Linked DNA regions of Coturnix japonica. The protein of the gene in region 7 interacts with the protein of the main gene of each other region in a pairwise test. Links are inferred from orthologs where the notes say so. Each region holds a gene or a part of one and is shown on either strand. Other genes may lie near its edges.

Region 1 (3,500 bases), on a different chromosome or scaffold from region 7:
AACTGTGCTTCTTGTTCTCAGATGAGCCAATGCATCCATCAGTGACCTGAGACTTTGATCTTCCTAACAAATGTCCCATACAGCCCATTTTGTTCCACTCAGAGTGCCATGAAAGCAGCCTTCCTTGTGGTATAAGTGAACCCGTAACCTTGCAGACACCCAGAGAGCATGGAGGAGCAGCAGAGACAATATCAAACTGGTTGGTTGGATCGTTTCTTACCAATTCCTCTATCTTTGTAATGAGCTGTTTGTTAGTTAGATTGCTGGAATCTAGGGCTACTGCCAGCTCCTGGTAACGTGTCTGATGGGCACATGCAGGCAGGAGAAGAAGGAAGGGGTAGAAAAGGAGGAGGGGAGGAAAAAAAAAGCAATAATTAAAAAGGACAGAAAAATAAATCATTATCACACTTTAATTAAATCAGATTTCCCAAATCAATCTACAGATCCAACAAGAGCAGCTGGGACATTAACTTCTTTGTACTTTCTGCTGTGGCATTTTTTGACATCAAAGTGAATCAAAACTAAGAGCTGCACTGAGGCCAAACGATCCCCAGCCCCCCAGAAATAGCTCAGCTATATTGGAAATACCCGCTCCTGCTGATCACAACTACCTGAGTGCAGCAGAAGGCAACAGTGGACAACAGTGTACGTGAACTGTGTGTTCAGTCAGGTCTCATTAGCACAGTCCCAACGAATGACTTAGACTGGAAAATAAGAAAATCGTAGGCTCAGGACAACTTACTTCCATTTCCTTAATATTAGTGGAAGAAACACCACTTTCCCCATTCACATACGACGTAGACTAGAAGAAAAATAGTCAAGTCAGTCAGTTTTATTCCCCCAGGCAATAAATCACTATCAAGTAAGAACTATCAGAATGCTTCTTATAGCACATTTCACTTCCAAGTACCTCAGACAGCCACAGAAAAAACACTTCCCTGGCTAAGGATAGATGCAGGCTGCCCCTGTGGCAAGCTGAATTATGCAGATTGACTTCAGATTCTTTGCCACTAAATGAAGAGTACATCTTGCCATGAATACATGCTGTTCGTTCACCCACTCTGCTCTTCTTCCTACTGCTGGAATTTTAACATTCCTAAAGCTGGGAGTTCAGCTTCTCAATGCTTCAATGTCTCATTGTTTAATAGGATGACCACAGGCATCTCTGACACCGAAGAGTGTTTTCTTAAGCTGGCTGCTTAAAGATCCTCATCAGACCCCCCCAAAAATTATTAAGACAGATGGACCAAAATGAGGCTGTACCTGAGAAACCAGGCCATTGAGTTGCTCAGACAGCTGGCGGAGGCTTTCTGTTGATGACAGAGACCTGGGAACAAAGACAGACCTCACAGTGAACATTCCTCCAAGAGAACTGATCCAGTCAGTAAAGCAGCGGGGAGCACTGAAGCTTTTATTTGTTGGACACTTTGGGCTCCTGCTGCAAACTCAAACACTCACCTGTTCTCATCCAAAGCGTTTTTACGATCCTCAGCTTCATGAATCTGCAGATTAAAACAAAAGTTTACAAGCCTGTAAGAAAAGCTGGGAATCATGTTTGTGAATGTGTCCTAAGGCCTGACTGCATCTGGGCTCGGGTTCCACAGCACCTGTAATTACTGCTTCCCAAAGAGAGATCTACTTCAGAAACCAGCTCATTTCCCAGCTTGCCCATAATTTCTGAGCACCGAGTGCCCAGGTTTCTTGGGATTAAGAGGCTTAAATGTTACTGGCTTTGTATTTGCTGCTACCATTTATCAGCATAATCAGCTGTGCATTGCTGGAAAAACTTCAATGGAATCTTTAAGCAGTGAAAGGAATTGCAGATTGCTCCAGCTAGCTGCAGACCTTCTGTATTATTAAGGGTGCTTTCTGCTAATTAAATAGGGGAGAAGGGAAAGAGAATCGGAGCTTTAGAAGCAGCAGGGCATGCTAGCATCCTCCACTCTCAAACAGATGACGATTAGATGGAGAGTGGAGAACGTGGTATATTTAACAGGAGACAATGTGAGCTAGTTATGGGGATTGCCCTTCTCAGACAAAGATGGCTAATCAGTGTGGAGATATTGATGATGACTCACAAACCTGTGTCAGCTGCGTGCTCCCAGGAGCAGGCAGGACAGAAGCACAGCTAGGCAGGCTGTTGCTGTTAGATAGCACGGGGACATCGGCAGCAAGCTGGTCAGCATTACGAGTGGCAACATCACTGTCAAAGTACGCCTGTCACAAAACACACCACAGGAATTACAGCCTACGTGCAAAACGAAGGAAACACACACGGACACATCACCTTGCGACAGGCCTGCGAGAAACAGGTGAACAAATGGAGAAACACGTGGAAGTGAATCTATGTCCTCCCCAGAGCAAACGGGTGACTGCATGAACCCATAGCCAAGAGTCATCCCAGCCCTATGTCCTGCTAGATCCAGTCTGAAGAACCGTCCTATCATCACAATCATTTCTCTAATGAGAGGTGACAGCATCTCCCTATTCTAAGCTCACACTGTGGATTTTCTACAAAGGATTTGTCAAGAAGTGAGCAAGGGGCAAAGGCAGATGGCATCACTGCTGTGTACAGCACTGCCCTTCGCATGGCTGGGGAAAACACTGATCACTGGGGTGCAAATTAAGGTGGGGAAGAACAGGCGAATGATTGCTCGACAACCAGGTTAGTCAAACTCCAACAGCAAGCTATGAACCAGATGTTTATGAACAGGACATTTGGGAACAGGCCAAAATGAGCCCGGCTGGAAACAGGTGCCCACAGCCCTGGCAAAGCCAGGAATCCCACAGCTACAGGAATCCAAATAGAAAAGGGCTAAAAACTATTCCTGGACAGTGATGAAGGCTCTCATCCGGCATTCGTGGGAGGATAAGTAACAGCTGACAACACCTCCACCAAGCCATGCTGAAATGGACAATTCCAGCCATCCTGTCCAGCAATGCAGTGAGCCATACAAACCCAGAGCAGCGTTCTGCTGGTTTATGGCAAGTAGTTTTATACCTCTGATAAACCATCATTTCATGACATTACAAAGCAAACAATAGTCCTCCTGCAGCCAGCACCCCAGCAATGCACTGCAGCTCTCTGCAAACCCATCTGAAAGAGCTCCCTTTTATTTCAGTCACTTCATTCTTGGCAGTCTGCGTGAAATAAGAACTCTCTGGGCATTCCCTATTTACCTGCTTTACTTCATTCATGAATCAAGCAGCCACGGGGTTACAGCAGTAGAGAAGATGGATTTAATGAGAGTAATGAGCTGGAAAACTGCAGAGGGGAACGAATGGAACTGCCTCCATTGTTTTTCTGGAGGACAGACATGTGTGCTCTCAAGGAATGACACATTTTAGGGGCTCCAAGGAAAGTCAGGAACTCCCTTGCTTCTTTCACGTACAGGTTACTTGGCCTCTGTTTGTCCAAGCTCTCATAAACTTGGAACATCGCATGGACATCTCAAAAACACGGCCTGCATTTGTTCTGATTGGAACATTCTTTTCACTTA
Region 2 (3,331 bases), on a different chromosome or scaffold from region 7:
CTAACCCCATGTTACCAAGCTGTGTCCACACTGTGACCATACTATCCCCCCACCAGGAGGGAAAGCACAGTATAAATGGGTCTCCCACGCTGTTCTATATGGTGCACTGCGGCAAAGCATTGTACAACAACCTGCTGTGGAAGAACTGGTCTGTTGGCGCCCTGTCCAACATGGTCATCATTGGCAACAGCTTTAAGGGCATCGAGGAGAGGTAGGTACAGCCCTACAACCCATTTCCAACATTGCTGTCCACTCCTTGCTTTCTTTCTGTCACAGCTGCAGCCTCTTCTTCCCTTTTCCATTGAGAAAAGTTGTTTTCATGGCAATTTCATGGTCCTAATTTACCTCTTCTTTTTTATAGGCTGCCATCAAGAGTATTGGAGAGAGATTACACTTACATTGCAAAGGTAAGAAGCACCTTTTAAACACAACACCACTATTTGCATTTACCCAGCACCTTATTGTGAGAAGCAACATTAATCACAACTTTAAAGCTGAAGGTGGTTGTTTTTAAAGCCTTGGGACCATTTTATTATCTTCAGAACACGTTGCAAAGAGGGGCACAGTTAACACAACACTCCCATCTTTCACATAAACTTGCACAGAAGTTCTTTTGCTCTGTGTTTTTCCAAATGCTCTTTAGGTTTTAAAAGGGGTGGAGGAAGTTGCCCTCCCTGCTCATCCGCGGTACTTGGATACCTTTAACGACACCTCCATCCACTGGTTCCCTGCATATAAACTGGAGAGACTCTCAGCTGAAGCTTGGGAGTTCCTGGAGGAGCCGACTTATGAGGAATGTGATGACTTGGAGATCATCAGGAAGGGGGAGGAAGGGAGCCAGCACAGCCCTGCTCCAGTGCAGGCCTAAGTTCTGCCTCTTCCCTCGGTCCTCCTGCACAGCCAAGGTGACACTCAAGCACTGACAGCACTGCTGCCAAAAGCAGCACCTGAACACTGAGCTAGATGGGACATTTTTGTATCATAGTGATTTTTTAATAAAAGTAAAAGCTCCACTTTGACTTACACTCACTGTATGGGAAACTGGTCATCACAGCCTGAACCTCTGATTAAGCAGCTGAGGCAAGTGTCGGGTTAGCTGTGGGAGTACACCATTGAGACAGTAATTACCACTGCCAGGGCACTGCCGCTGTCAAGTAGAGCTGCAAAATCTGTTGGTGGAGCGTTTGAGGCTGATCTACTGTTGGCCCTGCCCTCACTTGTTTAGTGGTTTGAGACAATTATTGCTGAATCTGTATCACAAGTGGCCATTACACAAGCATTGGAACTGCTTGCTCCTCCCCCTTCCTCCCTTTGCATTAGCTTCTACGTATCATTTCACCTCTTGACACTGTTGCAACAGCCAAGAAAACAATCCTGGCATCCAGCTGCAGTTCCACTGTTTGCAAATCTGTAACGTCTTTATTCTAAGACGGTTACATGGAAAAACATTACTAAGATCACCTTCACAGTTTCAAGCAGGAGCCTCACTTGGCCATGTCAATGAGACTCTGGAGAGAGGTTGGCACCCAGGTCTTTTCTCCTTGTACAAATACAACACCTCTGTCAATGTAAATCACAATCCGTCCAAACGTATATAACTGTTTCCCTTCGTGTCGCTTTCCGATCACGGGCATGAAAACAATGTTGTGTTCCTCTGCTTTCGTCTGAATTAGGTCCTTAAAATTCATTGGCACAGAGCTGGCTGCCATGCCTATGCCTCGTTGAGCCATGTTCTCGGCCTCTCGCCGTTCCTGCATGGCTTCATACTGAAAGTCTTTCCTCCTTTCTGTGTGAGTAAGGTATGCAATGTTCTCCCGGGCACCTGGCTGCATGTAGCCACCTGTTGGGGAGAAAAAAGTGTGAAAATCACATGTAAGGTTTATGTGGGGAAGCTCCAGTCCAAGATGCATACAGTGCTAGATTCAGCGAGGCTGAGCTGTAGTGTTCAGAATCATCCTCCATACATTTACATTGCTTGCATTCACAGTGTTACTGTTAATACAAAGACTACATAGATGAATCAGAGAGCTGTAGCTAAAGATACAGGACCTGATGTAGTCCCAAACTAAATCTGAGCATGCACAGGAAAAAATGCTACACTGACAAAGGTCCAGAGTGAATACATCACAATAAGCCACCTACCAACACTGGAAGAGACAGCCCGGTTCATGATATCAAGAGCTTCATTGAATTTGTCTTTGATGGATGGATGTGCCAACACTTGGTCTGAGAACATGGACTTCCAGCCCAAGTACCACTTTGTGATCTCTTCGTAATTGGGGCTATTACTAAGCCAAGAGCACAGCACCTGCAAAACAACATGAACAAATTCAACAGGATAGGTACATTCAGGGAAGTAAATTAGCTTGTTTATGACTCAGCGGAGCAACAATTATTAGGTCAGAGTTACTGAAACACTTCACTTGGAATCACAACTGTCAGAAACAATTCAGCCCTGTTCCTCACCTGCAGCCATTTTGGGAAGAAGTGTTTCTCCAGCAACCCAACAAGACTGGAGACAGAAATCATTCCTTCCCAGTCAATCACCCAGTAGAAGGCATCCATGTGCTGCTGATGAGGGTTTATGATGAGTTCATTCAAACACATCCCTGGAAAGAGGAGAAGAACAGTTAAAGGAGTACCTGACTTACCAGTGCCCCAACCCATCTCACAATGAGGTATATGTGATTATTGCACCGTATTACTTCCAGAATCTTTAAAATGTTTGGCTGATCCCTGCCACCAAAACAGTGCAATTCCATTTCCCTCAATTACAATTTACAGCCAAAACTGAGAAACTTAAGACATTCAGCTTTTTTCCTTCTTTTCTGGATCAGAGCCTTACAGCCAGATTGCACGGCTAAATGAAGATTGCACGGCAAATCTCATAGTGAAAGCATTCACATTAGCAAAAGAATTAAAAATGCCTCTCCGTTGTCTCACCAAGTTTAGGCACAATGTTTTTGACCATGAAAGCCTCCCATGACCCGGGTGTGAACACATCCTTCCACGGCTGAAGGATAAGTTTGGCTGAGGAGTCACTGGGATGCCATTTCTGCAGCGCGTTCGCCAGCTTGTTTCTGATGGGAGAATAAAGTGGTTCCAATCGTGCCTGCATCAGGGGAAGCCAGGGATGGATCCAGGAATGGATTGGGACTGTGTCTGTCAAAGGATTCCAGTTTTCAACCTTAAGGCAAAACACAAAAGAGGTTTAATTTTCTATTGGCACAAAGTCTTCCCAGATGCAGATAACCCCCTAAACCCAAAATACACTGACAAAGGCAACAAGCTGGTATTGCGGAAGCTGCAGTTGATTACAATTCAAACAGTG
Region 3 (3,500 bases), on a different chromosome or scaffold from region 7:
ACACTGAATCTGTTAGTGTTTTCCCCATACACATAGAACAATTATGCTACAAAGTCAAATCTTGGAACAATAGTATTCATTATTTCAAGTCTTTAGAGGACCAAATTCTGCCTTAAAAATCACTCACATGATTTCCATTGTCTGCAATGAAAACAGATTACACGTAGGTGATTTTGATTTGTTTTCCAGTGCTTAAAACTACTCATCTTTTTAATCTTCTGTAGAAAATAAAAAACTATCTTTGTGCTCCCTATGGTTTTTGTTTGTTTGTTTGTTTGCTTTTTTGCGTATTTCAAATAATGGCTTAGGACAGATTTGATGCATTTTATCTGGATGGTCTGGGATAAGATAATGGATTTTTCTGCACACCTACATCCCCAAGAATACTGAAAGAGTGGATCAAAGTCAGTAGATTTTATATTAAGTACACACGGTGACAAAACACCAATGACCGGTGCTTAAACAGTTAAAACTGTGTATACCACTGATTTTGCCAACATACCCTTGCTTACTGTTGAAAACAATACTTTTTAGTCTAAAGATCAGTGATGCTTTGATCACAGAAAATCAACAAAAAAGTTAAAAAAAGTCTTTTGCTGACTTCAGGATTTCCTTTTCCCTCTGGCATAAATACTCCTCAGTAAACAAACAAACAAACTGCAACAAAAAACAACGCCCCCCTCTCCCCCCCAACCCAACCAACCAAACAAACAAAAAAACTTCTTGTAAATGGTTTCACAGACTTACATTGATGCATCTCTTATCTCCTTGTATTTCTGATCAAGAACAAGCCAGCAGGTAAGAAGCAGCAGCCAGTGGTAGGTTTGCCTCCTCCACTCTAGGAGGCCATGTTAAAATAAGAAGTGAAAAAAAAATGCTTTAAAACAGAATTGCTACGTAAGCCTCACTGGGGAATTACAGTCACTGATGTGTGCATGTTAAAAAGGGTATTTCCAGTCTATCTTGTGTTGCCTGAGAACCATTTTTGTCCTTTTAAAATCTACAATTATATTATAACCCATATGCAACTTTCATTTTTGTATTAACACTATAAATACTATGTTAGTATTACTAAACTATCTCTATTGACTTATCTGTAAAAAGAAAAATATATTATAGATTTATATATTTTTATAAAGTGAATTAACACTGGAAAGAGGGCTGTGGGAGAGTAGTGTACAATCACAGTTGATGTGTATTACTGGGCACAAACTCAACACTTGCAACAAAACAGAAGAGAAAAATCTGTCCAGGTTATACCCCTCTTTCAAGCTGTGTCAGAGGAAGAGTCATAGGATGCTGACACTATGAAGTTGCCAGTATTGGTATGGCTTGCCATGGACTGGGCAGCCTGCTGGCTCAAGTTATTGCAGATCAGCACAAGCTGGTTGCTCTGAGCTTCTGACAATGTGCTACAGCTCTGGTAGACACTGAAGTTGGTCTTCCTACCAGGGATGTTGCCCTTCTCACACATTGTCTTTACCATCTTGGCAAGCTTATTTTTCCCCAGAGCTTGGCAATTGTACCAGTGAAGGGCGGCCAGGTTGACGACAGGTTTGATTGACAGGTAAAAAGGTGCATCCTCATAGCGCATGGCCGGAGGCCGCCTCTGGGCATACTCCTTGTAGTCTTGCACAGGACAGGTCTGTGGGGAGTGCTGGGTGGCATACACCCGAGAGTCTGTCCCACCTCTCTTGCTCTTGGCACTGATATCTCCATTGTCCGGTCCCATCCACTCCAGGTACTCCAACCCAGTCTCTGTCACCCGCAGTCGGATGTCTCCCCATTTGAGGGTGGACCCATGAAAACCTGTGCAGTGTCCAAATGCCTTAGTGTTGTTTAGCCAGACAAGGTTCAAGAGCCCTTCGGGATTGTACCGGCTCAACAAGCCTCTTTTGCGCAAGATAAGCTCATCAGCAAAGGTGAGCTTCATGGACTTGTGTGGCTTGTTTCCTTTACCTTTACACCTCAGCTCTATCTGCTTTTGTTTTAGGGCTTCTTGGGACCTCTTGAACTCCTTATCCCTGGTAATACTGTATCCGTACCTGTGCTCCTTCAGATAACGCTCCAGCCCACACTGATAGTTAGCCAGACTGTTTGGCTCATATTCAGACCCATCCTTCTGCCTGGCATCCACAAAGAATGAAGCAAGGTAGGCATCGAGCTCTTTGCAGGGGATAACGTAGATCTCCCGGGTCTCAGAGGGATACTTGGAGATGAGGAACTCCCGGAAATTGCGGAGAGCTGTCTGTGTGCTGCGAATGGTCTTCTCGTTCTGCTCCCTGCTGAGCTCTGCTGCTCTCTCATCCTGGTCTGGAAGAGGGAGAAGGAAAAGGACAAAACAAAGCAGAAAGAGCAGTGAGCTTGTGTGAAAGGTTTTTCCCAAAGAAAATTGCCTTTAAAAGCATGAACAAACAGAAATGAGAATGAATTTCACAGAGAACACTTGAAACCATCATTACATACTTGCCACAAAACTGAAAAATCAACTTCAGTTCTACAAATGACGTAGCTAGAATGCGGCACAAAGTGAACTCCTTACGGCACTGGGACACAACTTTGTGCACAGAGATCAGTGGAAAGTAGTTTAATTAGAGGCAAACTGCTTTCCAGAACAAATGCAAGGTGTTTCAGCAGACTCTGGTGCCACATGCTGAGCCCCATCTGAGTAATGAGCCCATTGCGAACTGACTCATTTGTGAAACAAGGGGCTGTACTCATTCTGACATATTTTTCTATGAAGAATCACCAAAGCCTTAAATTTGTGATATTATAATTACCTTTAATTAGACACTTTTCTAAGGAGCCAATAAATATAGATAGAAATGCACACTACAAAATAATGCAGCACATCCTAAGAAAGGAGTTAGCAGGTACAACCCAGTGATGTGTAATTTACAAACATACAAGAATAAAAGCTAATGCAATACTTTACATTAGAAAATATCAAATAAAACTGTCAGCACTTAACACGATTATACAGTTCCTCTATATAATCAAGCCATACTCTGACAGAAGAAGCACAATCCTGAGTATTTTTTCTCATTTTGCAGGAAAAAAAAAAAATCAAATTCAGGAAACAACTTTATATTGTTCCATAAAACTATATTCAAAGGTCATTGCAATCAGTGACATATCAAACCACAGCTTCCAGATGCGACTCAAAAGATGGTTCTTAATGACAAACAATTTTCAGGCTGGTCATCAGCATAAAGGGAAAAGCTTTTTACATGGAAGTGAAGAATGTACTTAAGGACTGTTTTCTTGGCATGTGGAAGCTGTCTTTACAAGGATGCAATTTGTAAGCACACAGGCAGAACTGTCATTATGGATAAGATAAGCCTTAATGGTTTTAGAAAATGATGAGCAGTATGTGTAAAGAAGGAAAATTCCAATGATTTGACTATTTTCTGCACTTGTAAATGGAACATTCCTTTTCTCTCAGTTATCAAGAAGAGGGAAAACGGAAAGTTCTCTTTTGCTCTGTCTGTCTAATTGCA
Region 4 (4,131 bases), on a different chromosome or scaffold from region 7:
ATAGGATCCAATAGGACTCTATAGGACCCAATAGGAACCAATGGGGCTCCATAGGAATCAATAGGACCCCATAGAACTCAATAGGACCCCATAGAAACCAATAGGACTCCATAGAACTCAATAGGACCCCATAGGAATCAATAGGACCCCATAGGATCTAATAGGATCCCATAGGATCCAATAGGACCCCATAGGATTCAATAGGACCCCATAGAACTCAATAGGACCCCATAGGATCTAATAGGACCCCAATAGGACCCCATAGGATCTAATGGGACCCCATAGAACTCAATAGGACCCAATAGGACCCCATAGGATCCCAATAGGACCCTATAGGACCCCATAGACCCCATAAGACCCCATAGGACCCCATAGAACTCAATAGGATCCCATAGGAACCAATAGGACCCCATAGGACCCCATAGGATCCCAATAACACCCTAATAGGACCCCATAGAACTCAATAGGACCCCATAGAACCCAATAGGACCCCATAGGATCCCAATACGACCCCATAGGACCCCATAGACCCCATAGGACCCCATAGGATCTAATAGGACCCCATAGGATCTAATAGGACCCCATAGACCCCATAAGACCTCATTGGACCCCATAGGAACCCATAGAACCCAATAGGACCCATTATAAACCCCGTAGTCCCTTACGCAAATTGCGTAACTCCTCCCCATTATAAACCCCTATTCCCTTACGTCAATTGCGTAACCCGACTCCCACTTACGCAAGCTCCGTATCTCCCCCCCATTATAACTACCGCACTCCCTTACGCAAATTGCGTAACCTGAGCCCTCACTTACGCAAATTGCGTAACTCCCCCCATTCTTTCCTATGGCCTCCCTTACGCAATTTACGTATCTCCCCCCATTAAATCATAGGACCCTATAGAACTCAATAGGACCCCATAGGACCCTATAGGACCCCAATACGACCCGATAGGACCCCATAGGACCCCAATACGACCCCATAGGACCCCATAGGACCCCATAGGACCCCATAGAATCCCATAGGATCCAATGGGACCCCAATGATACGGGTTGACACACACACTGTCACACTTGAGATCGAACGCGTACTGACAATACTTGACGTGCTTCAACCCCATAGACCCCATAGGACCCCATAGGATGCAATGGGACTCCATAGGACCCCATAGAAATCAATAGGACCCCATAGAAACCAATAGGACTCCATAGAACTCAATAGGACCCCATAGGAATCAATAGGACCCCATAGGATCTAATAGGATCCCAATACGACTCAATAGGACCCTATAGGACCCCATAGAACTCAATAGGACCCTATAGGATCTAATAGGACCCCAATAGGAACCCCATAGACCCCAATAGGACCCTATAGGAACCCAATGGGAATCAATAGGACCCCATAGAGCCCCATAGGACCCCATAGAGCCCCATAGGACCCCATAGGATCTAATAGGACTCCATAGAACTCAATAGGACCCCAATAGGACCCCATAGGAACCCATAGAACTCAATAGGACCCTATAGGATCTAATAGGACCCCATACACCCCAATAAGACCCCATAGAAACCAATAGGACCCCATAGGAATCAATAGGACCCCATAGGAATCAATAGGACCCCATAGAAACCAATAGGACCCCATAGAACTCAATAGGACCCCATAGAACCCCATAGAACCCCATAGGACCCCATAGGACCCCACAGACTCCATAAGACCCCAATAGGACACCATAGGACCCTATAGGACCCCATAGGATCTAATAGGACCCCATAGGACCCCATAGGACCCCATAGACCCCAATAGAACCCCAATAGGACCCCATAGGCCCTAATAGGACCCCATAGAGCCCCATAGAACCCAATAGGACCCCATAGAACTCAATAGGACCCCATAGAACTCAATAGGACCCCATAGAACTCAATAGGACTCCATAGAAGCCCCTTACGCAGTTTGCGTAACTCCCCCCCCATTAACCACCATAGTCCCTTACGCAAACTACGTAACTTCCCTTACGCAACCTCCGTAACTCCCATTATCGAACCCCCCGCCCTTACGCAAACTGCGTAACTCCTCCCATTGGCTCCCTAGTCCCTTACGCAAATTGCGTAACTTCCCCTACGCAAACTCCGTATCTCCCCCATTATTTCCTATGGCCTCCCTTACACAAATTGCGTATCTCCCCCCATTATATCATAGGACCCTGTAGGACCCCATAGGACCCCAATACGACCCCATAGACCCCAATAGGAACCCATAGGACCCAATAGGACCCCATAGACCCCATAGGACCCCATAGGACCCCAATAGGACCCCATAGGACCCCATAGGACCCCATTGTACTCACCGATCCCAGGCGACACCACCCTCTCGTAATGATACGGGTTGACACACACACTGTCACACTTGAGATCAAACGCGTACTGACAATACTTGACGTGCTTCAACTCATTCTTATGCAGGTCGGGCCACCTCCATAACCTCGCATAGATCACATGGGGGAACCCTTTCCTCCCAGCCACCTGCAGCCTCCCGTCTAATGTACGTTGTATAGTCACGCATTTACTCGGGTGAGCCCCGTTGGTCGTAATGGCGGCGATGAGAGAATCCAGCTCGTCTTTCTTCTCCTTCAGCTTCTTAACGAGGCTCTCGATGGCTCGTTTGGCGAAGGTCTCGCTCTCTCCTCCCTGTCTGTGGCACATTAAGCTGTGCACGATGCTCAGACACGCGTCGTTGCTGCTGGGGGGGGTGGAGATGGACATGGCGGACACCGGGAACGATGGAGAGCCCGATGGAGGCCGCTAAGATGGAGGGACGCAGCACATCCGGGTACTTAGGGGGGGTTCCGGGTTGGGAAGCCGCAGTACATCCGGGGATTTGGGAGGGACTTCCGGGTTTGAGTTACATCCGGGGATTTGGAGGGACTTCCGGGTTTGAGGGACATACGGGTACTTAGAGGGACTTCCGGGTTTGAGTTACATCCGGGGACTTCCGGGTTTGGGAACCCGCAGTACATCCGGGGATCTGGGAGGGACTTCCGGGTTTGAGTTACATCCGGGCATTTGGGAGGGACTTCTGCATCCGGGAACTTAGAGGGACTTCCGGGTTTGAGTTACATACGGGTATTTAGAGGGGGCTTTCGGGTTGGGAACCCGCAGTACATCCGGGGATTTGGGAGGGACTTCCGGGTTTGAGTTACATCCGGGGACTTAGAGGGGACTTCCGGGTTGGGAAGCCGCAGTACATCCGGGAACTTGCAGGGACTTCCGGGTTTGAGGGACATCCGGGGACTTACAAGGGACTTCCGGGTTTGAGGGACTTCCGGGTTTGAGTTACATCCGGGGACTTGGAGGGGCTTCCGGGTTTGAGTTACATCCGGGGACTTAGAAGGGACTTCCGGGTTGGACGCCCGCAGTACATCCGGGGACTTAGAGGGGACTTCCGGGTTTGAGTTACATACGGGTACTTAGAGGGGACTTTCGGGTTGGGAGCCCGCAGTACATCCGGGGATCTGGGAGGGACTTCAGGGTTTGAGTTACATCCGGGGACTTACAAGGGACTTCTGGGTTTGAGGGACTTCCGGGTTTGAGTTACATCCGGGGACTTCCGGGTTGGGAACCCGCAGTACATCCGGGGATCTGGGAGGGACTTCCGGGTTTGAGTTACATACGGGTACTTAGAGGGGACTTCCGGGTTTGGGAGTGAGCATGAGTTACATACGGGGATTTAGAGGGGACTTCCGGGTTTGGGAACCCGCAGTACATCCGGGGACTTGCAGGGACTTCCGGGTTTGAGGGACATCCGGGGACTTGGAGGGACTTCCGGGTTTGAGTTACATCCGGGGACTTCCGGGTTGGGAACCCGCAGTACATCCGGGGATCTGGGAGGGACCTCCGGGTTTGAGTGACATCCGGGGACTTGGAGGGACTTCCGGGTTTGAGTTACATCCGGGGACTTCCGGGTTGGGAACCCGCAGTACATCCGGGGATTTGGAGGGACTTCCGGGTTTGAGTTACATACGGGTATCTGGAAGGCACTTCCGGGTTTGGAGGTGCGCATGCGCAACATCCGGGCACTCGCGGCGCGGCCTTAAGAGCCGCCTCCATGTTGCGTGCGCACAACGGGGAGCGG
Region 5 (3,500 bases), on a different chromosome or scaffold from region 7:
ATCAAAAAGAGCCCCAGACAGTATGCAAAACAAATACAGGAGTAACTCCTGCATGTCCAAAGTGAGGGAATAAACCTCCTTATTGCCTCTGTCTCCAGGGTACACAGAAAGAAGATTAGCAGACCTGCACCACTGAGGAAACAGCACAAGCAGCAGAGTCATTCCTGCCTAAGGACTGAATAGTTGGACTCCAGAACTAGAATATTTCATATTCATCTAATCCTTTTTCTGCTAAGTCATGCTTTGGATGTGAAGCACACTCATAAACAATTAAAATGGACTCGCAGATGTTAAACATATGTTACAAATATTAAGTTAAAATAATATCAATGTTTATAAACTTTGTGAAATAAAGTATACATGTTAATGGCTATTCCCAGATATATAGTTTGAAAGGTGCCTAATAGCTGTGTAACCCTGTGTATCCTGCTGATTAGTGAGAGCTCAAAGAACAGAGAAGTGGGGTTACCAGCAGACATCATCAGGTCATCCTCTGAGGATGAGACAGATCTGATGCACACCCCTGCCCTTAGCAAAACTCCATCAGCGCCCTTTAAATGGTTCCCCAGGGAGTATCCTGCTACTTGCTAATCTTGCTCATGAACACCTAATTCTCTCCGTTACTACACAGGGTGTGGCCATTAATGCACTGATCCTTTACAGAAGCTCTCCTAGTACCTTGGGCTGAATTCTTAACTCAAAAGAAAATCTGCATAGAATGACACAACAATTTAGGCTAGGAGGGACTCTGGAGGTTAGCAGTATCAAGCCTGTCCTCCAAAGCAAAGTCAGTTTAGATCAACCCATAAGACAAAATGGAAGATTTTGCTAAATGGTGCCTGATGCTTATACGGGAGATGCATTTGGGGCCATCATATCCTAACAACATCCACAATTCAGGTCCTAAGGGAAACGAAATGTGCTTTAAAAACAGTGTACGTGGTTAAGTTAAAGCTGGATTTCAGATGTTCTCAAGATGGCAGTACCTGAGCAGCATTCAAGCCTTTCATCTGAAAGAGCTGAAGTGAATAAACTGTGCTCTTACAGTTCTCAGGTCTGACAGAGAGTGCCGAATCAGGAACGCCTACTCCATCGCACTTTGCTCATATTTGCAGTCCAAATAAAGGAAACATGCCACAGTGCCTCAAAAGTCAGCACAGATCTATTTAATCTCAAATTAATGGCAACATAAAAGACATTCGCTTTAACGTGGGTAAACACACAGCTCAGAGCATTGTTTTACAAAATATATATCATAAGCTGAGTTTCTGGGTACGGGGACTGATGTGTGCTGCACACCACAAATGAAACACTGATGTGGCAGTGCCAGAAGGTGTTGGCATAGTAATGGAAGGAGCCCTCTGGCACATCCCTTCAAAGGTATGTGTTAGTACCGTAAGCTTGTAGGGACTAGCACAAAGGCAGCATTCAGAAACAGCTGTGACATGACATATTGGCTCTTTTACTGTGTGTCATGACAGGAGTCATTTGGGCTGGGGTGGAGGTTTCACTGCCTTAAATACCCCCACAGGTAATAAACAGAAGTTGGGGTGATGTGCAGAATCCTTTTTGCTCTTCAGGGGAAACTGTTCAGCCAGAACCATAAGAAGACAAAAGGTAACGAGGAGATGCTGGAATAAGAGACCAGTGGTTTTGACCTGATTTATGTCAACCTCAGTAGAGGATGCAACATTTGAAAGTCAAGAGGCACTGTATGAGCAGGACTGTTCTGGGACCACTTCCCAGTGCAGGAGGCATTTGGTCCCCCATGAAGTCCTACAATACACTCCTGAGTGTTCTCTCCATTTCCCTCCCTCCCCCTGCTCCCTCTCATTCTTGCCATTCAATGGTTTGGTTCCCTCAGGCAGTGAAAACAAGATAGACTTTGTCTGCTTTAGTCTCACCATCTCCTTTGACTGGGATCAGCTGCAGATGGCTGAGAGTGTAAACTGCATGTGGGAGGGGAGAAGTGCTTAATGTCTAGACACTCCCACACATTTCAACTTTAGGCTCCTCTGCAGCAGGTACGTGCTCTTCCTCCATTCAAATCTCCCAAGCACGCAGATAGAGCAGTTCTGATCAAAATGGGCTTGCAAATTAGACAGGATGAACAGTAAACAGGTCTCCCAGTATAGCTCACCAGAGCTCAGCATCTCTCCCTCACTTCTCTCTGACACTGACAAGGCTCAAAAACAGGTGATGCAGTAGTCCTGGGTGCTTATTTGCAGTCACCATAATGATGGCCATCTTAAGACTCAGGTTCCACGTACACAACAGTGAGGTCCTTGCAGCAACACAGACTTGAAAGATTTAGATCTTCCTGGAAGCATCTCTATCAGATTTGCTGACTTAACTGTTATGTGGGCCAGTAGTGGATTGAAGAATGGATCAGTCATAGGGAAGCAAAAGGAAATGCCCTGTGCCTGAAGGCACAGACACCAACTTCCCAGCAAGGGGGAACACTGTTAAAAACATCTGCAGGAAGAAGCTTTATTCCATGACTGCCAAGGACTGTTCATCTGCAAGGTCTCCTTCCCGCTTCATAGATCATACAGTCTTTCCTAGCAGGGACAAGTGACTGCTAAAAGTTTGGTGCAGCCATAGCCAACATATTTCACCACATCCCTGTGAAAGGCACCAGAGAATTCCGCACTGTCCTCTCCAAAACATCCTCTCATACTCACCGATGTCAAGGACCCTCTGCTTCGCTGTGTGCTGCCGGGAATGCCAGTATTTCCAGTACTTCAGCTGCTCGTCTCTGTTTTTATCCTCACTAAAAACAACCATGACCACGCTCTAAGAAAATAAACAGCAGAGGGTGCATTATAGTTAATCTGTAGTTAATAGTCAGAAACACAACAGTTCTAATGATGACTCAGTCCCTGCCCTTCCACAGTGCTTGGATTGTAAAAGATCACTGTTTTTTATTGCAGTCCAGTACTATAATTGCATGGAAAATCTCACAGCTAAAGAAACGTAGTTTTAAAATAATGGTTGTGTTTTTCTGGAGTTCTGGATTACTGGGAGGAAAGGTAGGACATTTTCAAAGGGCAGTTTAGCTGTGTATGGGATACTGGTGACAATGCAATGGAGGAATAAAAACTTCAGAGAGAAGTCTCATTTGGTATCTTTGTGTTTGGGGAGTTAAAAGGAGAAGCTTTCTGTGGGTAACATAATTATGTCCTGACAGAAAAAGGTAGTAGGTAAGTTCCTGCAACAACCAAAACCTCAAGCAAATTTTATTCCACAAAATGTAAGTCTTGGAGCATGACTGGTGACAATGTTGGTGCTTTTCTTCACCTTCTTCCATGAATATACAGTTTTAACATGTCCAAATGTTCCTCTTAGGAGCAAGACTCTTGCATATATGATCGTAATGACAAACTCAGTGTGAATATTTACTGGATTTCACTGAGCTTTTCAGTTCAAGTTCTGAATTCCCTTTGTTTAAAACTATCGTTCAAGGGAAACAGACTGAAACACTATACAGAACTGCACAT
Region 6 (3,950 bases), on a different chromosome or scaffold from region 7:
CCCAATGCCAGAGCTGGAGATCCCAAAATCAGTGCTGACGTTTGACATCCTGAAATGCCACTGAAGGGACAGAAGGCACAGCAGGCAGCCCACCCCCCCCAATACCTGTTTGTGCATCTCAATATTCAGCCCGTAGGACATCTCGTAGTACTGCGGAGTGGGGAAGAAGAGAACAAACAGACACGATGAGGACTCCAGCATGCAAAGAGACCCCCACATCTGTACCTTCCTGCTGCCCCCAGCCCAGGTGGGACCTCAACTAACCCAGAGCCCACTCAGCACCTTCACAGAGCCCTGGCATCACAGGGAGAGCTCAGTGCTCTGCTGGGAACAGGCACAGCCCGGCTCTGTTTGCTGTGCCTGGCCCATCTCCTAACGCCCACGTGGCTGCTCCGGCAGCAAATGGAAGGGCTCAGCCCTGTGCTCCAGCTGCACACAGCTCCAGCTGCTTGGGAAGGAGCTGCAGGAAACACACACGCAAAATAACCCACCCCCCTCACACAACAGGCAGCTCCAGTGCAAGCTATTGGCACGGGAAGTCAATTCCTGAGCACTCCAAGTTTGCTCAAGCAGCAGAGCAGCTCTGCACACAGACAGCAGCTCCCTGCTCACACCCTGCATGTCCATCCTGCACCCACCGACCCAGCACACACACAGGGTGCAGAGCACGAGGAGCTCTGTTTGTTTGCACGAGGAGCCCTGTGTGCACGAGGAGCCCCGTTTGCACGAGCCCAGCAGCAGCAGCACCTGCTCCCCACCCACGCGCTGCCCCGGCAGCTCCTCACCATGACGTAGTGACGCTGCATCTCCGATTTCTCGCTGGCGAGTTTGTCGCATTCCAACTTCAAGCTGCAAAGGCAGAAAGCAGTGAGAGAAGCAGCAGGGCAGCGGGTTGCATCCTGGGTTGCATCCTGCAGGGTCCATCCCAGCCTGTTGTGTGCCCAGTGCAGCTCAGCAAAGCAACCAGATCCTCCTATACTGGGGAAGCCCAGGTGCAGTGCAGGCCTCTGGAATGATGCCTTTTCCCCCTTTCCTTTGGGTTCTTTGCACCCTTAAGAGCAGACGTGCTGCTCGCTGTGCTCTGTGCAGCTCCCCAGCCCGGCAGCTGCAAGCAGCATGTGCTGGTTTTATGTTTCAAACAAGAAACAGCTTCACCTCCACCAAACCTGCTGCTCTGTGAGCAGATCGGGTCCTGCAAGGGGGGGCCACAATGCTGCACGATGCAGAGCTCGGGGAGGTGGGAGCAATAGGGAAAGGGCAACACACGGAGCAATGGTTTGGTGCATGCGTGCAGCTAGGAAGCAAACAGCAAGAGAGCCCATCGGCAGCCAGCTTTTGGGTCAGCAGAAGCCATTCCGCAGGCGGAAAAGCGGAAGCATTTGGCTTTAAGTGCTCCCTGCAGCATTTGTGAGCCAAGAATGGCAGCCAGCAGGGAGAGGGGAGGAAAACTCCCAGCGAGAGGAGGGAGGGCTGGAAGAGCTGCACATGGATGGAGGGATGGAAGAGCTGCACATGGATGGAGGGATGAAAGAGCAGCACATGGATGGAGGGATGGAAGAGCTGCACAGGGATGGAGGGATGGAAGAGCTGCACAGGGATGGAGGGATGGAAGAGCAGCACATGGATGGAGGGATGGAAGAGCTGCACAGGGATGGAGGGATGGAAGAGCTGTGCATGGATGGAGGGATGGAAGAGCTGCACAGGGATGGAGGGATGGAAGAGCTGTGCATGGATGGAGGGATGGAAGAGCTGTGCATGGATGGAGGGATGGAAGAGCTGTGCATGGAGTCCTGCATTGGGGTAAGACCTGGCTGTGGGGGAGGCAGAGCGTTCTCCTTCCTTCTCCTTCCAGAATCCCACCTTTTGGGCAGTGAGCAGAGCGTTCCCTGCCTGGATTGCAGCTTTTGGCCAACTCTGGGCCGAACTGCGTGGCCAAAGGAAAGGAAGGCAGCAATGGGTGCACACCGGGCGTCCCCCCCCCCTCCTTGGGATGCTCACATCGGTCCTCCAGGTGGGACCTGGAGGTGATACCGGCCTGGGGAGGCTGAGCCTGGGGGTAAACCTGTGCTGGGCTGGGAGGGCAGCGCGTCGTGCCGCACGGAGCCCATCTCTTGGCCACGCTGCGTCCCGGTCCGTGCAGGGCAGCGATGCCAAAGCGGAGGATCCCAGCTCCGGGCGCACTGCGGACCCCCCCGGGATGCTCGGGGCGGTCGGTGGGGGCGGTACCGGCACGTACCTGTGATACTGGGCCTGCAGGAGCTGGAACTCGTCCTTGATGCGGTCGCACGAGTCGGAGGTGGTGAACTTGAGCTGCTGCGGCAGGTGAGAGGAGCCCTTGAACAACACACACAGCGCTGCACACCCAATGGGGGGCCCGCAGCCCTGCCCGCCCCCCCACCGCAGCCCGCCGCCGCCCAAGGTCACCCGCACCCCCCGCTCCGGTTCCCGGTGGCTGCGGGCGGGCAGGGGGCGGCTCTCGGTGCTCCCCCCCGTCCTTCCCTCCTTCCTTCCTTCCTTCCTTCCTCGCTCCTCCCGGTGCCGCCGTACCGAGTGTCGGCTTTGTGGAAACATCATGTCAGGCTGCAGCCCGTTCCACCGCCCGCAGCGGTCCCCTCGCCCCGCTCCGCTCCGCTCCGCTCCGCTCCGCTCCGTTCCGTTCTTTCCCCGTCCGCCTTTGTCCGCGCCGGGCCCGGCCCCGCGGCCGCCCCGCGCCGCTGTGCCCCGAGCCGCCGCCTATTGTCTAATGGCGGCTGCGATCCGCTCCGTCCTGCGGCTGCTCGGCACCACCTGCCGCCCCGCCGCCGCCTCCCCGGGCCGGGCGGGCCCACGGCCGTCTCCGCCCCCGCCGCGATCCGGGCGGTGCGGGGCGCTCAGCTGCTCCCCCCCCCCCCAATTCCCCCCCCCCCCCCCCCCTCGCCCCCCCCCCCCCCCCCCGGGATCGGGGGGGGGGGGGGCGCCCAGCTGCCCCCCCCCCCCCAATTCCTTCCTACCCCCCCCAGCCGTGATGCTCTGCCCCCCCCACGCCCACCCATCCCGACCCGGTGCCGCTCAGACCCCGCTCCGTGGGACCCTCCGTGGGTCTGGGGTCTGCGCTGTGTCCCAGAGCCCCGCACCTGCTGCGGGCATCGTGGGTGCGAGAAGGGCTTAGAGTGGGGTCGGCCTTAAAGGGCATCCAGTTCTCCCCATCACCATATTGCTATCAGGCAGGTAAAAGTCACTCCCCCTCCTCCCTGTAAGCCCCCTCCCCAAGTACTGGAGGGCTGCAGTGAGGTCTCCCCGGAGCCTCCATGGCTGCTCCATCAGCACGTTTCCATAGCAGAGGATCTTTGGTGCTCAGAGCTCAGAGCATCCCACAGCCTGATCCCAGACCTGGATGCATCACTGCAGGTGGGTCCCCACAAGGGCTGAGCAGACGGGACAGTCCCCTCCCTGCCCTCTGCCCCCCCATAGTTGCAGCGCAGGGGGGTCTGTAGGACCACCACGACCACAGATCCCAAGCTATGACCATCCAACCACTTCCTTACCCACCAAACAGCCCACCCTTCAAACCCACCTCTCTCCTATTGAGAGAAATGGGCACAGTGTGGGGCCGTGCAAAGGCCCTGCACAACTGCAGCCTGTGCCCTTCCTTTGTCCACCAATGCCATCAATGGAGGCCACCAGATGGGCCAGACACGTCTGCCCTTGGCGTTCCTTGTTCACCTATTGCTTATGGTTCTTGATGTGATGCTGCAGGAGCTGAGCACCCCAGCAGTGTGGAGCTCACCATCACAATTTGGGGCTCACTATCACAGTACAGGACTCACCATTGCAATATGGGGCTCACCATTGCATTATGGGGCTCACCATCACATTGCATGCCCCAGTATCACAGTGCAAGGCTCACCATCACAGTGCAGACCCCACCATTGCAATGCAGGGCTCAGTTTTTGACTTGCAATGCCCACAGC
Region 7 (4,225 bases):
ACTGAGAGCATTAAAAGTTTGCTATCCCTCTGAAATGCAATTTCTTACTCTCTCACTAAGCTCTCAGAGTTGAAGGAAAAAAACAGCATATTTTTTCCATTTCTGGAAAAACCCGTCTTTCTCAAAATGCCAGACCACCTCATTAGTGGAAGCCTTGGTTAGCTTATAGATAGCTGGCAGAGGTGTTTTGTTGTGCTTGTTTCCACTTCATTTTTTCCCCCCACCATTATGAGTAAGTAGAAGTAAAAGCACAGTTTTCATTGCCTGTAATGGGAGCAGAATGTGCTTTTATTTCATAGTCATTTTCCATTCTTCTCCTGGCAGTACCTGGAAAATCACGTGAAGAGAGATGCGACTGTGAGGTAACTTGGTGGTGAAGGCTCCAGAAGCCAACACTAAATGCAGATAACATATTTTTGACTAACAGTGCACATTTACAGCCTCTGACCAGAAATTAAAGAGTACTGTTATATGGAGAAGTCATTAACTGATATTTAAAGCTGGGAAATAGAGGAAGTATGAGGAAACCGAAAATGTAAGGCCTATATTTAACATCTCTTAACTTCAAACTGACCAACTAATGGGGCAAAGCCTTGAAGTTCATTTATAGTGGAAGAAATGAACATGAGACCTACGTGATTAATGCATCTTCTCCTTGAATGTAAGGCTTACGTTAGAAGAAAGCCATGCTGCTTTTGCAGTGTTTCAGAACTGCTGAAGCCAGATCATGTCCTCTCCAGATTCTGGATTAACCAAGGTTCAGACTATACAGCAGAACAGGTCCACAAAAACTTCAAGGCTTTTTTACCAACAGATTTAACTTGTGTCATGGTTAGAAACAGAGTTCATAACTAGTTAGGCTTGAATAGTTATCACAGGTAATGATGCATGGGAAGGAAAACATGCAGTGCTGGGAACATAATTTTCAGGGTCAACTTCAGAAAGCCATACAGTTTTATCTATAGAATCAGCAGAGAAGCAAGCATGCAGCCTGGCATATAAAGGTCATATTGAAGCCACTCTTCAGACATCTCCCTAGCTGGGTGTTGCTGAGCCTGGAGCTGAGCTGTGGCTTCTGCAGCCACCGGCAGGAATAGGGTGCTCTGCCTCCAGGCGGGGCCCACACAACTCTGGCAGATGCCAAGGGAGCAGAAGGCATTGACACCAGCACAAGGGTCCTCAAGATCTTCCAAGAACGAAGGCAGAGAGAGTAAAATAGAAGTAGCTGAGAGATGATACAGCTGCTTTGCAGAGTACAGCCACAACAGGAGCTGTAATCAGAGAGAAAACAGCGTGCCTGTCTGAAATGCTATTTCTGCTTTATTGTGTAAATACAGGAACTATGACTTCATGTCTCACACTTCAAGAGACATACTCTCAGGCTTGTTTTCTTCCATATCTGAGCTCTAAGACATGCAAAATGTGTCTCTGTATTTCAGTTCTGGCTGGAGGTTAATCTCTAGAAACAAGTAATGTAACATTTCCATCTATCTTTTCTATTCTTTTGGCGGTTTTAATTACACTAATATACTATGACACTTTAAACAAGACACATCTCAGCTTATGGCCTGCTCTGCAATGGTTCAGCTGCTGTGTGTGCTCCAGCACATTTTGCTCAGACAGGCTGCTGCAGGCTGGGGGTGCAGAATAGTGCCCTTCTGTCATGAGAGATTTCATTGCACTGATCATTGTGTATTTGACAGACTCTTTGTCAATGTCAAGTGTCTTTTGTGGTTAAGCCCAGTAAAGCTAAAACAAAAGGTCTCCTAGATATTAGATATATAGTGACATTACTGAATTCACTCGGAGGCAGTAATTTTTTGTCAGCCTCTGAAAAGAAAAATGGAGCTAATGGGAAAACAAAAGGAAGATGCTGGCATGTCTTTTTAGCTATTTTTGTTTATGTCAGACAGTGTGATTGACATCTGGCCCAGAACACCCTTTCAACCACCGAGGCTGATGTCATGAAACAGAACAAAGAGAAACTGCCAGGCAAGAAAACACTAATGGCTCAGAAAGCACTTTTTTGGGTTTATTTTCTTTTAAGTGTTTCATTTTCAGTAATCAGTATCACTGCACAAAAGTGCACTCATAGGCACCCCCTCTTACTATTTGGACTTCTAAGTTTCCTTTGTGTTTGCTTTCTTCCTTCTTGCCTGAATGGCACCACAGTTCTGGTTTGGTTGGTTGACAGTCTGTCATAACAGTGATGTTTGAGGTTAGTGAAAACTGACATGAAAAATACAATCCACTGGCCTTTAACTGAAATAGCAGCTCTGTTTTTTTGTGGAGTTGGCAGGCAGCATTTTTAAACCCCTTTCACGGTGAAGGCAGTTACAACATGTTTTTCTCTGTATCAAGCAGTTCCATCATGAAGTGCATTATCTACATCTGTTGTCATATCAGGATACTGCCTTTGAAGAGCAGTTTACTGTTTCTTGTGAGATCACTTCTGCTGAAGCACCCTAAGAGGGTTAAGGAAATTTCATGGTCATTCTCCATTGCCAGGCCCATTACAACGCTTTAACATTTATTTAAGAGAGTTTTAGAAGTGTCAGTGACCAGAACAGCTCCTGCAGACACACAACACCACAGAGACTTCTGCATTTGCTCGCCACTTTGTCAAAATAGGAAGAATCCCAGTGTCCCTCTAATATTGTCTAGAGTCATTATATACATTATAAGCATAATGTTCGCATTCTGCAAGTGCTGTAGATTTTGATGTACTTAGTCAGCGTTATGTGCTAGCAGGAGGAAATTATTCTCTAAATTTTTAACTTTGTCTTGAAAGTATGATGCTAAACATAAACCAAATGACTACGAAAAAAAAAAAAAAGCAACAATAAAACATAAAAGAAAGCTTTTGGCAAGACAAGAGCAGGACATTTTATCAGCTATTTAGGTACAGTTACATTCTGAAATCATTGGAGAATTCTTAACAAAAGAGATCTTAATCACTTTAAAAGATTCCAAGGAATTTGGCCTTTGAATGCATCAGGTGTGCTGCAGCTAAATATCCCTGCACCTTTTTAATAGGGTTTACTCCAGTATTTAATGCAGAGCTATATTCTCCTCTAGAAGCACACACTTAACTCCCCCCAGCACTAATAACAGATATGTTCACACATCGAGTGGAGAATTTTCTCTCTGTCTTTGCACAGTGTTCTAAAAAGAACTTTGAAGAAATTGAGAAAAACAGAAAGAGAAGTATATTAATTTTAAGGAGATGAAAGCACCACATGTCATTCCTAAATTTCATGGAAAATGCTCCGTTAGTAACAAAGATGAGCAGAAAATTTCAAAATCATTTTGAGCAGCATTAAAATCAGTCCTCCCTGATTTTCTGTTTTCCCCTTCTTTTCAAAGCACATACATTAAACTCATTTTATGCTTATAATGTATATAATGATTCCAGACAACATGAGAAGGACATTGGGATTCTTCCTATTTCGACGTATAAAGTGGCAAGCCAATTTATGCAGCTTAAACCATTGCTAAGGAAGATGTATCAAAAAATGCCTGTGATCATTACAAATAACAGCCTGAAATGTTCACAAGAAGCTGTTTGCTTATCATATTTTCATTAAAACATCTTTTCACCTGCTTTGCTTTTCCCATGCCTGTAACCTGCATTGTAATCAGTCTTATTAACTGAGAACATAAATATGATTTATTATAGTCTGATAATGGAAGCTGCATGGACCAAGAGAAGGGATATATTGTCCTTTGATAAAATGGCTCTTTTCTCTCAAATAGAGCTCTATCATGAGAGCATGCAGAATGTAGTGAGTGATTATTTCCTGAGGGTGAATGATGGCAGAACCCTACAGAAAATCTTCTTGTTGGCCATGACAGCCTCCGAGTGTCCCCAAATCTCACTGAGTTTGACAACCTGCAGACACTTTTGATGAACTGTATTCTTCTGTCAGAGACAGCCTGTCTGGGAGGAGAAAAGGGAACCTTTATCGTCTGATCTGCTATTATTGTCTTGATCTTTTATAAGCAATCTCTAATGCACATGAATATAATATCCTTTCACACAAGTGCCAAACATAATAGAAATGTAGTTTAAGGACCTTTTTCCCAGTTATGTAAATGTCCTAGTGCCATAATTATAAAAGATGGTTTGTGAATGATAGCTGTAAGGAAAGGATAATGAAAATGTTTTAACATTATCTTTCTGTTTTAAAGACCAAAACCTGTGATAAATAGCATTTATGGTACA

Evidence for each region.
Region 1: the proteins of LMO4 (region 7) and GOLGA2 interact in binary tests that used the Homo sapiens proteins (3 or more experiments, as listed by UniProt). The two-hybrid records come from large-scale screens. The link is inferred for Coturnix japonica from reciprocal best matches to the Homo sapiens genes LMO4 and GOLGA2.
Region 2: the proteins of LMO4 (region 7) and TFIP11 interact in binary tests that used the Homo sapiens proteins (3 or more experiments, as listed by UniProt). The two-hybrid records come from large-scale screens. The link is inferred for Coturnix japonica from reciprocal best matches to the Homo sapiens genes LMO4 and TFIP11.
Region 3: the proteins of LMO4 (region 7) and KIAA1958 interact in binary tests that used the Homo sapiens proteins (3 or more experiments, as listed by UniProt). The two-hybrid records come from large-scale screens. The link is inferred for Coturnix japonica from reciprocal best matches to the Homo sapiens genes LMO4 and KIAA1958.
Region 4: the proteins of LMO4 (region 7) and SMAD4 interact in binary tests that used the Homo sapiens proteins (3 or more experiments, as listed by UniProt). The link is inferred for Coturnix japonica from reciprocal best matches to the Homo sapiens genes LMO4 and SMAD4.
Region 5: the proteins of LMO4 (region 7) and GRHL2 interact in binary tests that used the Homo sapiens proteins (3 or more experiments, as listed by UniProt). The two-hybrid records come from large-scale screens. The link is inferred for Coturnix japonica from reciprocal best matches to the Homo sapiens genes LMO4 and GRHL2.
Region 6: the proteins of LMO4 (region 7) and TLE family member 5 interact in binary tests that used the Homo sapiens proteins (3 or more experiments, as listed by UniProt). The two-hybrid records come from large-scale screens. The link is inferred for Coturnix japonica from reciprocal best matches to the Homo sapiens genes LMO4 and TLE5.

Annotation. Positions count from the first base shown.
Region 1 is NC_029532.1:3,739,813-3,743,312, reverse strand, and holds part of GOLGA2 (golgin subfamily A member 2), read right to left. Parts: intron 2,218-3,500; coding exon 2,083-2,217; intron 1,503-2,082; coding exon 1,459-1,502; intron 1,328-1,458; coding exon 1,264-1,327; intron 803-1,263; coding exon 743-802; intron 302-742; coding exon 221-301; intron 1-220. UniProt on the Homo sapiens protein: Peripheral membrane component of the cis-Golgi stack that acts as a membrane skeleton that maintains the structure of the Golgi apparatus, and as a vesicle thether that facilitates vesicle fusion to the Golgi membrane.
Region 2 is NC_029530.1:6,260,357-6,263,687, forward strand, and holds the end of TFIP11 (tuftelin-interacting protein 11), read right to left. Parts: intron 3,188-3,331; coding exon 2,944-3,187; intron 2,610-2,943; coding exon 2,467-2,609; intron 2,309-2,466; coding exon 2,143-2,308; intron 1,841-2,142; coding exon 1,485-1,840; 3' UTR 869-1,484; coding exon of another isoform or gene 644-868; 3' UTR 501-643; downstream 1-500. Other genes in the region: SRRD (SRR1-like protein), read left to right, coding at 57-211, 362-407, 644-868. UniProt on the Homo sapiens protein: Involved in pre-mRNA splicing, specifically in spliceosome disassembly during late-stage splicing events. Intron turnover seems to proceed through reactions in two lariat-intron associated complexes termed Intron Large (IL) and Intron Small (IS).
Region 3 is NC_029547.1:58,584,582-58,588,081, forward strand, and holds part of KIAA1958 (uncharacterized protein KIAA1958 homolog), read right to left. Parts: intron 2,314-3,500; coding exon 1,268-2,313; 3' UTR 1,261-1,267; exon of another isoform or gene 839-1,260; 3' UTR 748-838; intron 1-747.
Region 4 is NW_015439872.1:57,673-61,803, reverse strand, and holds the start of SMAD4 (mothers against decapentaplegic homolog 4), read right to left. Parts: upstream 2,801-4,131; 5' UTR 2,763-2,800; coding exon 2,348-2,762; intron 1-2,347. UniProt on the Homo sapiens protein: In muscle physiology, plays a central role in the balance between atrophy and hypertrophy. When recruited by MSTN, promotes atrophy response via phosphorylated SMAD2/4.
Region 5 is NC_029517.1:116,638,307-116,641,806, reverse strand, and holds part of GRHL2 (grainyhead-like protein 2 homolog), read right to left. Parts: intron 2,797-3,500; coding exon 2,685-2,796; intron 1-2,684. UniProt on the Homo sapiens protein: Transcription factor playing an important role in primary neurulation and in epithelial development. Binds directly to the consensus DNA sequence 5'-AACCGGTT-3' acting as an activator and repressor on distinct target genes.
Region 6 is NC_029543.1:645,298-649,247, forward strand, and holds the start of TLE family member 5, read right to left. Parts: upstream 2,801-3,950; 5' UTR 2,575-2,800; coding exon 2,548-2,574; intron 2,335-2,547; coding exon 2,237-2,334; intron 850-2,236; coding exon 786-849; intron 151-785; coding exon 106-150; intron 1-105. UniProt on the Homo sapiens protein: Transcriptional corepressor. Acts as a dominant repressor towards other family members. Inhibits NF-kappa-B-regulated gene expression. May be required for the initiation and maintenance of the differentiated state.
Region 7 is NC_029523.1:13,758,191-13,762,415, forward strand, and holds the start of LMO4 (LIM domain transcription factor LMO4), read right to left. Parts: upstream 2,801-4,225; 5' UTR 1-2,800. UniProt on the Homo sapiens protein: Transcription cofactor. Plays a role in establishing motor neuron identity, in concert with MNX1, acting, at least in part, to disrupt LDB1-LHX3 complexes thereby negatively modulating interneuron genes in motor neurons.